Drosophila melanogaster: one gene and its partner. The protein of the gene in region 1 interacts with the protein of each later gene in a biochemical or structural test. Each region holds a gene or a part of one and is shown on either strand. Other genes may lie near its edges.

Region 1 (5,123 bases):
AATGCGCGAATCCTACGAATCCATCACTCGCTTGCCCACATCATCCATTAATGCTCCCTTTGACCTTCTCTTCCTGTTAATAAATTTTCACTTGCGTTCGAATTGGCCTGTGTACGAATGATTATTATGTATACCTTTTGTTTTGTATTGTGCCTTATTCTAATTAATCGTTTCTGTTAATTAATGAACATTTGTTTCTGCTCCGCCAGCAGCATACATCCACATCCCTATGCCGCCAATCCGAGGCGCCAACAACGTGCCGTAAAACATTTTCACACGGAGGACGAAGCGGCCAGCTCCTACAAGGCGGTCAAGCGCGGCAAGAAGAAGTAGTAGAAACGTGATCATCTGTATGCCAACATCTTCCGCATCGCACACTCAAAAACACTAGGAAGCAAAGCGTTGGGTTCTGTTCCATAGCAGGAAAACCAATTCAAATATTTTTTAACAAACACAATTCTTTACCAGTTCTGTCTTATCCTGCGTGAGTCGACCAGAATGCAACACTAAAAAATGTACAACTTCAAGATGCTATTGATGTGCACGCAGGATACAGAACAACTTGCTTAAATTTACTTAAAACAAATGTGACTATTCAACGCCGAAATCATTACAACACACACTCTCAGACCTAATCGAAAAATTCAATGAAAGTAATGGAATATATATGAAATCGTAATTATAAGTTTGAATTATTTGATTAATTCTCAAGTTTTTAGATTTTGTTAGCCACTAAGCTTTAAATTATGGATGCCAGTTAGCGTGCAAATGAACACAATTGATTTGAAGGCTCCGAACGATAGAAAACAACAATTACCAATTCCCCAAATACATGTAATTCGTAAGGCCTAAGTAAATGTTAACGTGAATTTAATTAAATGGTAATTACATTATAATAGTAAATCCAGTGTTCTACTTATGCGACTTATAGAGAATTAAACGTATTAACTAACTAGTCCACCATCTCCATTTGCGTCTCCTCGGATTCCCGCCAAATGCGCTGCACCATCTCTACCAGCTGCTTCCAGAGCGCCGTCTTACGCAGGAAGTTGGCAAGGCAGACGAGAATAAAGGCCCAAGCCAGGCCCAAATAGTAATCCGTCTGCACAATGGGTTTATTAGACAGCGGCTCCATCTCTGCGCGAGTGAGGATGATCGGATCAATGGCCTGCGGATTCACAGTCTTCATATTGGTGTGACTCATTATGAAACTGGCAAAGCTGCTCTTTGTGTCCTTCCACCCGGGCTCGAATTTGATTAGCGGCCTGCCCTGGTGGAATAGCATCAGTGTGGGCAGCGAAACGATGCCGAATTCTGCATTGAAACGACCAAACTCATAGGCATCCACATAGGCGATGGGTAGCGTGGGAAAGTAATGGGGCAGCACGTTGACCATCGAAGCCACACGAGCGCACTCCAAGCTGGATGCGGTGCAGAAATGGACAAGTACACAGTTGCCCGGCTCGTGGCGCTTGGTGGCATTGCCCATGGGCTTAAGCAGATTCACTATATCCTTGGCACTGCGCATTATCAGCAGTTCCGGCTCGGATGCTGTCTCATTCTCGATATCCCGCTGCAGGCACTTCATCATAATAGGTGGCTTTCGAACCGGAGGCAGCTGGTTTAGGTGCATGATGTGCTCGTCATCCGGGGCACATGTGTGTCGCTCCTTCAGCAAGGTTTCGAAGCTATAATGGCACTGGCCCCGCGAAACTCCCAGGGAATACACCGTCAAATTTGAGAAGAGCCCGAAATACTGGAGGGCACTTAGTAATCCGGAGAGTTCCGCCTGGCCCTGCGCGGCGCAGAGCACTGTGGAAGTGGTATAATGTTACTGATTGAAGAACTCGATATAAATAAATAACGTACAAAATACAAACAAGAGATTTTGGTTCATTATATCGTTGGTTGGACAGCTGTTGAAATAGTTGGCTGTTATATGGCACTCGTGAAATACCTGGAAACTTCTTAGGTTTGGATATACCGAATAGCAAGGTAAACTGCTTGACCTTGTTTTTGTAAGCAGTGCCCATTAAGTTGGTATTTCATCGATGAAACATTGACGATGTATCGAAAAACATCGATGCTTATTTTTACATCGCTACAATAAGTTTATATTTTTACCTTACCTTATTTTCATTTTCGTCTGCGCTCGCTGGTGATTCCCTTGGTGGCATTACATCATTGGTGGATCCATTCGGATCCAATTTAGAAGCGCCACGATGACGGAGCTGGGCATGGAGCTGGAGAGCGTTCGCCTGGCGACATTTGGGGAATGGCCCCTGAATGCCCCAGTTTCCGCGGAGGATCTGGTCGCCAATGGTTTCTTTGCCACGGGAAACTGGCTGGAGGCCGAGTGCCATTTCTGCCACGTGCGCATCGACCGCTGGGAATACGGCGATCAAGTGGCGGAGCGCCATCGCCGCTCCTCGCCCATCTGCTCCATGGTTCTGGCTCCCAATCACTGCGGCAATGTTCCCAGGAGCCAGGAGAGCGACAACGAGGGAAACAGCGTAGTGGACAGCCCGGAGTCCTGCTCTTGTCCCGATCTCTTGTTGGAGGCCAATCGCTTGGTAACTTTCAAGGACTGGCCGGTGAGTACCCTGAGCTGGTGTCGCTCGCTTCTGGTGATTCACCATAGCGGGTCATTGTAATCACTATAGTTTCAGTTTCAAGCTCACTATAAGTGCATATGTAAGTATGATTGCGTAGTTAAAAAGTAGCGTAAATGAGGCCAGGAAAATCCCGGTCGAAAGTATCAATGATATTTTTGTATACAAACAAGAAATGTCTTGTTAGCTGCCTCAATTCAGCTGAATGTTGATTGATAATCCTACGAAATTAAGCTTTAATTAAGATATACAAAAATCATTATGAACTTCAAATGAAGTTATTGTATACTGTATAATTTCAAATATTTTTAATGACTGAATAAGATAGTTTAACTTTAGCCCAAAACGTCTTCCTTTGTAGAATCCCAACATCACGCCGCAGGCTCTGGCAAAGGCAGGTTTCTACTACCTGAACCGTCTGGATCACGTGAAGTGTGTTTGGTGCAACGGAGTGATTGCCAAGTGGGAGAAGAACGACAATGCCTTTGAAGAGCACAAGCGCTTTTTTCCCCAATGTCCTCGTGTGCAAATGGGCCCCCTTATAGAGTTTGCCACCGGGAAGAACCTGGATGAGCTGGGCATCCAGCCCACCACTCTGCCACTGCGTCCCAAGTACGCCTGCGTGGACGCCAGATTGAGAACCTTCACCGATTGGCCCATTTCCAATATTCAGCCCGCTTCGGCTTTGGCGCAGGCTGGCCTATATTATCAGAAAATAGGCGACCAGGTGCGCTGTTTCCACTGCAACATTGGATTGCGCTCCTGGCAGAAGGAGGACGAGCCGTGGTTCGAACACGCCAAGTGGTCGCCAAAGTGTCAGTTCGTTTTGCTGGCCAAGGGTCCAGCCTATGTAAGCGAAGTGCTCGCGACAACAGCTGCCAACGCCAGTTCCCAGCCAGCAACTGCTCCGGCTCCAACGCTCCAAGCAGACGTACTGATGGATGAAGCTCCGGCCAAGGAGGCCCTAGCCTTGGGTATCGATGGAGGAGTTGTGCGCAATGCCATCCAGCGCAAGCTCTTGAGTTCCGGCTGCGCTTTCTCTACGTTGGACGAACTATTGCATGACATCTTTGACGATGCGGGCGCAGGAGCTGCACTGGAGGTGCGCGAGCCGCCGGAGCCAAGTGCTCCTTTTATTGAACCATGTCAGGCCACCACCAGCAAGGCAGCATCTGTGCCAATACCGGTGGCCGATTCCATCCCAGCCAAACCACAGGCAGCTGAAGCAGTGGCGAATATATCGAAAATCACAGACGAAATACAAAAGATGTCGGTGGCCACGCCGAACGGAAACCTATCGCTGGAGGAGGAAAACCGCCAGCTAAAGGATGCACGCTTATGCAAGGTATGCTTGGACGAGGAGGTTGGCGTAGTGTTCCTGCCCTGTGGCCACTTGGGTAAGTCGCTGAACTATACCTTGATTGCCTTGAGCTGTAGCTAACTTCCTGTTAACCCGACAGCCACCTGCAATCAGTGCGCCCCCAGTGTAGCCAATTGTCCCATGTGCCGCGCAGACATCAAGGGATTCGTGCGCACGTTCCTTTCGTGAAGTGCATATCGACATCATTTAGAGTTCACCAGCCTAGTTAGCAGTTAAGCAAATCGATTGATTGCACCCACACAAACTACTACAGCGAAGTTCAAATTATCCGGTGATTAGCTAATATAATCGTCTACTAATCGTCTACTAAGTACTTGGCCAACTGCAGCTATTCGTTTTTACATTAGCTACGGTTGTAAGTTGTCGTTACTAACTATCGCATTGTGTCCGAGCGCATCCCTTTTGAACCATACATTATGCACGCTGAAATGACCTTATATAGATGAGCAGCTCTAATTCGCGCTGAAAAGGGTATCAATGCACCGGCACGACCGCAGATCACATGGATTTCTTGTTATAGTACTCTTATTAACACATGTATGTATTTTTGTTGATCATGTTTATAGGCCGCTGATAGTATGGTTTACACACAACTATATGCATTCTCCAATAAATGTATATGTAAATGTTAAAAAATTTGTCTTTTCAATTGCAAAAATTCTTTAAAATAATTTATTTATTTTGCTAAGTTTTAAATCCCAACGGTCTTCAAGTGATGTGCCCCGAGAGATTAGCCTATTAGCTTGCAACAGTCTGATTCCACTGCTCACAACTATCTCGATATCATCGCCATGCACGGTTCGATACTATCGATAGTAGCATCGATGTTTTGACGGCTCTACTCAAAAGTACCAAAATATTGGTATCCAAGCAATCGTTTTCAGCTCTCCGCGTGAAGTCGTGTGCGCTGCTCGTAAGGGAGCTCCATTGAGTTCTGGTCGCGAAAAACTAACAAGCTCCAACGCCAAGAAGTGCAGAAGATAGTGAACAAAATTTAGAAGAACCGAACCGAAGCTACGGGGAATTTTATGTGTGAAATCGAAATTACCAAACGCGCGCTCGTGTGAGTATATTCTGCGAGTATTTCAAAGGAAGAGTTCAAGTGTGTGTGTGTGTGTCTGGTGTTGCTG
Region 2 (5,175 bases), on another chromosome or scaffold:
GCTAACGTGTATCGCAGCGCTTATCGTAACGTATCGTTATCGAGCCCAGCAGTCAGCTGTTTATAACCCAAACAATCACACGTGAATTTCTTAAAAAGTAAATAAATAAAATTTTAAACGAAAACTAAAACAAAAATGTCCTCTCCCAGTGAATCCTCTTCAGCTTCTGAGCACGAGGCTAGCGATGACAACGAAACTCAGGTACAAGTAATACAACTATACAGAAATATGGTTTACTACATATGCGAGAACTTCGTTTTAGAATGCCATTCGCGAAGATCTCAAAGGAATGTCATTCGAGGAGATAATGAAACTAAAAGAGGAGCTGGGCGCCAAGGTGTACAAAGAGGCTGTGCTCGGTAGCAAGAGTTCTAGACCCCAAAAACCAAAGGCCAAAACCGACCTCAAGCGGCTAAACAAAAACCGACCTCGTGAAATGACCACCAGACGACAGGTTCCATTTTTGGGCGCCGAGCACAGAGTGGAGCGGAAAAAAAATGTTGAACTCAGAGATCCAAGATTTGACGAAAAATCCGGAACATATAGTGCAGAAACCTTCAAGAAGAACTACCAGTTTGTCTCCCAGATTCGAGCAAAGGAAGTTGGTCAGCTGAAGAAAAAACTGGACGAAGTGGAGGATGAGGCGGAGAAGCACCATATAAAGGACACCATGCAGCGACTTATCAATAAAAATGTGGAGGACAAGAAGTGGCACACCAAACAGAAGCAACTGAAAAAGGAGCGCTCCGCCATTCAGAAGAAACACGATTTGGGACAACAACCTCATTATCTGACAAAGAGTACGTTTCTGATCGACAGCGAAATCAAATTTTAATTTGTTTTTTTTTCCGACAGAGGAGCGTCGAGCTAAGGAACTAGTTGCCCAATTCGAGAAGCTGAAAAACACTGGAAAACTCAACAAGCACATGGAAAAGCGACGCAAGAAGAACGCCGCCAAGGACCGCAAACGCATTGGTATAGAATAAGACTTACGCTTTAAGTATAAATGTATTTTAAACAATTAAAAGCACAGTGCAAATAAGCAAATCTAGCCCGTGCGCAACATCTTTGCTTCCCGCTTCTCCTGCAACTCGCGCCGTTGCTGTTCCACAATTAACTTGCGCTCCTCCAGGAACTCGCCATAGGCCGCCGGATCTATTTCCCTGACCACTTTGATGCCACAGGTCCGAGCAATGCTGATGAGCATCTCACACATTTGCTAAGAGACAAGGCATAAACTTGAGTCGAAGTTATATCTCAAACTTTTCGGAATACCGACCTGCATGGTAAGAAGTACATTGGGCGGGTCCTGAATCTTAATAGCTGCAATCTCGTACAAATGCTTGAGAGTGATCATGCCGGCAACCTCCTTGCCAGGAGTCATGGTGCCCCTTTGTATGCCCGCCGCTTGCTTCAGGAAAAATGTGGCCGGCGGATGGTGGATGGCCAAGTCGTAGCTGCGATCGCTGTTTACGGAAATTCTGCACGGCAGCGGTACGCCCTCTTTCATTTCCGCGGTCTTGGCATTAAAGTCCTTGCAGAAAGCGGCGATATTAATCGCTCTCTGTGTGTGGTTAAAAACAAAATTATATACATATTTTAGTTTTAAAGCCGGCTAACTCACCTGTCCCAACATCGGTCCCAATGGCGGACCTGCAGCAGCCATTCCCGCAGGTATATTCGTCTTCAGTTTGCTCGTGTGCGTCACACGTTCCACCGTCTTCTTTAGCGATTTCAGCTTACCCGCTGCCTTCGACATTTTAATTGATTTATTTTAACTAAACAATTGATTCAAACTGTTATGCAAAGCGAAATGTGTTGGTGGAAGGAAGAAGAAGCAGCAACAGCTGATGGTATTGCTGTCGTTTCTAGTTGGAACGTATAGCTGAATAGCTAAAAACATACTTCCGAATGTGGTCTTTAGCAACATTAAACATGAGATGATGGTTTAAAAGATCCAAATGTCATTTGCACAATAGCAGGCTTTTAAAAATACTATATACAATACTATGAAAGCAGCTAAAATTTTAAAAGCCCTTTGAATTATAGCTAAATGTACAATAGCCAAATTCCCGTGATAAGCAGACGATTAGCCACCCCTGATGCGAAGAAGAAGCATCGCGGCCAACAGCTGTTTGCATTGCCTATCGCCTATCGGTAGTCGAGGGTGTCGCAGCAGGCAGCTTTTGTGGCAGAGTGCCAAATTGAAATCAGCTGCCAGCTGAGAAGTGATAAATTAAATAACAATAACAAACGCCGTGTAATCACATAAACCCATGGCTTTGCGCGGTTCCCACCGCTTGGAAGTGATCTTCAAACGCTGCATTGCCTCCCCGGTGTTACACAGTCATGCAGCCAATCGGAGGAGCAGTCAACTAGCGATCAAAGAAGGCGATCCAAACAGCAATGGTAACAGTGGGCAATATCAGCAAAATGGTGAACAAAAAGAAAAAGGCTGGAGACGATTGGTTCGATTCTTTGTGCCCTTCTCCCTGGGCGCTGTGGTCAGTGCGGCGATCATACAGCGGGAAGACTTAACGCCAACGATCGCCGCTTCCAAAATGACCGGTCGTCGGCGGGACTTCAACTTTATAGCTGATGTGGTGGCAGGTTGTGCGGATTCGGTGGTCTACATTGAGATTAAGGACACCCGCCACTTTGACTACTTCAGCGGCCAACCGATTACGGCATCGAATGGTTCCGGCTTCATTATTGAGCAGAACGGTCTCATCCTTACCAACGCCCATGTGGTGATCAACAAACCACACACAATGGTACAGGTGAGGCTATCCGATGGCAGGACTTTTCCCGCCACCATCGAGGACGTGGATCAGACATCCGATCTGGCGACTTTGCGCATACAGGTAAGCGTACAGTTGAATTTCTAAGCAGCGCAAGTTCTATATGCATATCTTTAAATCCAATCTTACAGGTGAACAATCTTTCGGTGATGCGGCTAGGCAAGAGCAGTACCCTGCGATCCGGCGAGTGGGTTGTGGCCTTAGGCAGTCCGCTGGCCCTAAGCAATACGGTGACAGCAGGCGTAATCAGTTCAACGCAGCGTGCATCTCAAGAACTTGGCCTTCGAAACAGGGATATCAACTACCTGCAAACGGATGCTGCGATTACGTTTGGCAACTCCGGCGGTCCCTTGGTCAATCTGGATGGCGAGGCTATTGGAGTTAACTCGATGAAGGTGACGGCTGGCATTAGCTTCGCAATACCCATTGACTATGTAAAGGTGTTTCTGGAGCGGGCGGCCGAGAAACGAAAGAAGGGCTCGGCCTACAAGACTGGCTATCCGGTGAAGCGGTACATGGGCATCACCATGCTGACGCTCACACCGGATATTCTGTTCGAGCTCAAGTCACGAAGCCAAAACATGCCCAGCAACTTAACGCACGGCGTGCTCGTGTGGAAGGTTATCGTTGGGTCACCGGCGCACAGGTGGGTCAATACCTAAGTGGTTAACCTATCAATCAACCAGCATTTTCCATTACAACGTGCTTTTTTGCTCTACCTCCTTTTTAGTGGTGGACTCCAACCCGGAGACATAGTGACCCACATAAACAAGAAGGAGATCAAGAACTCATCGGATGTCTACGATGCCCTGGCGGATAATAGTAAAACTCTAGATATAGTGATCCTGCGAGGTGTGAAGCAGATGCACGTGACCATTACGCCAGAAGATCCCTAGTTTAACCTGTATGCAGCACCTGTACCCAATTGTATATATTTATATATCTAAACAAAACCTACCGATCCTGGGAAGAAATCGCTGACAAACCCACCCCCCACACGCTCCTATTCCTAATCGGGTGCGCCTGCCTATATTTGTCTCTGGCTAACGAGTAGGGAAATTTGCATAGATCGCGGGCTCGTTATCAGTGGCCATTATTAACAGCGGCACGACCATAAGTTAATCTACGCATCGGACGGCACGAAAATGTATCTCCGACTGGGTCGATTGGGTCGTCTGTCCGTTTCCGAACATCATCGATTTCTCTTTCATGGAGCGCTGTGCGTGTCCCCTACCATCCGTCTGTCTGACCGTCCGTCCGTCCGTCCGTCCGTTTGTCCTCTTCCAACAACGACAAAAATATATTTACGCTAATTGAAATATCTTGCGTTGCGATCAATCGATGCCATATTTTTTATAGGCCAAACCTCGGCAGTGCAAAAAATGCAGCAGCAACATCAGACGCAAAAAACGTCGAAAAGCGAAATGCAAATTTCAATAAATTTATGCAACTGTATTCCCAGCGCTTCACTTGGCCAGCTGTTCAATACCCTCGATAGGGGTACGTTAGGTATATTTTACAAAATGAAAAATTCTATTTTTTGGGTGCTGAGAAGTTCAATGGTCGAATAGCGAACTTATTGCAAATTATTATTAATAATTATTTTATGAAACTGAACCTTTAAAATGTATTGTCTAGTTGAATCACATTGCATATTCAGACAAAAATATTCAGTCGTAGTTTATGATGTTAACCCTATTTCATCGAAACAAACATGAATGTGTAATTGAAATGAGTCTTCTCAAATCTACATGTTATGTGCATAAACAAAACAAACCTAAAATATGACCTAATAGTTGAAATGCATTAAATGGAATTTGTATCCGAAACAATCTTTGTACACATTTAAAAAAAAGGGTATTCAAACCTCACATAGCTGAGCTCAGATTGGTTTGGCTTCGGTTTATTTGTGGGTGACAAGGCAGACGTTGCCAATGATGATGTTGTTGCCGCTGCTGCTGCTGCTGTTGCTGTTGCTGTCGTTGCGTGAAAAGTGAAATTCTTGTGATTATTAATTTTGTTTTCGCTTTTGGCGATGCTACGCTTTTTTGGCTTTTGCATATAAATTCATATATTGATTCCGCCGGACTGACCATTGTTGCTGGCATTGCCGTTGTTGTTTATGTGACAGCGGCCTTTATGACATTGTTGGCACTAAGTTACCTTTATTGCTTATAAGCCGCACGCATAAATGCAGCTTAAAGTTCATAAATTTGCCAATATTCACTCGGCAAGGGGTTAAGCAAACGGACCTCGCTTTTGCGATCGTGTAAACACTTTTTACTTCATTCACTGGCGCCCCACGCTTTTTGCACTTTCTTTCTGCCATTTCAGCCGCTTGCTTGCCGGGCATTCGTTTCCATTTCCATTTCCA

Evidence for each region. The genes of interacting proteins can lie anywhere in the genome.
Region 2: of the proteins of Diap2 (region 1) and HtrA2, one has a biochemical effect on the other in vitro, tested with the Drosophila melanogaster proteins (one study listed by BioGRID).

Annotation. Positions count from the first base shown.
Region 1 is NT_033778.4:15,931,670-15,936,792, reverse strand, and holds Diap2 (Death-associated inhibitor of apoptosis 2), read left to right. Parts: upstream 1-1,967; 5' UTR 1,968-1,995; intron 1,996-2,075; exon of another isoform or gene 2,076-2,212; 5' UTR 2,213-2,222; coding exon 2,223-2,594; intron 2,595-2,973; coding exon 2,974-4,009; intron 4,010-4,072; coding exon 4,073-4,161; 3' UTR 4,162-4,623; downstream 4,624-5,123. Other genes in the region: Mlf (Myelodysplasia/myeloid leukemia factor), read left to right, coding at 213-333; bug (bunker gear), read right to left, coding at 953-1,812, 1,870-1,897.
Region 2 is NT_033777.3:14,508,508-14,513,682, reverse strand, and holds HtrA2 (HTRA2-related serine protease), read left to right. Parts: upstream 1-1,970; 5' UTR 1,971-2,276; coding exon 2,277-2,864; intron 2,865-2,932; coding exon 2,933-3,447; intron 3,448-3,531; coding exon 3,532-3,697; 3' UTR 3,698-4,634; downstream 4,635-5,175. Other genes in the region: CG8461 (uncharacterized protein), read left to right, coding at 136-201, 263-800, 856-986; mRpL11 (mitochondrial ribosomal protein L11), read right to left, coding at 1,049-1,219, 1,280-1,564, 1,625-1,759.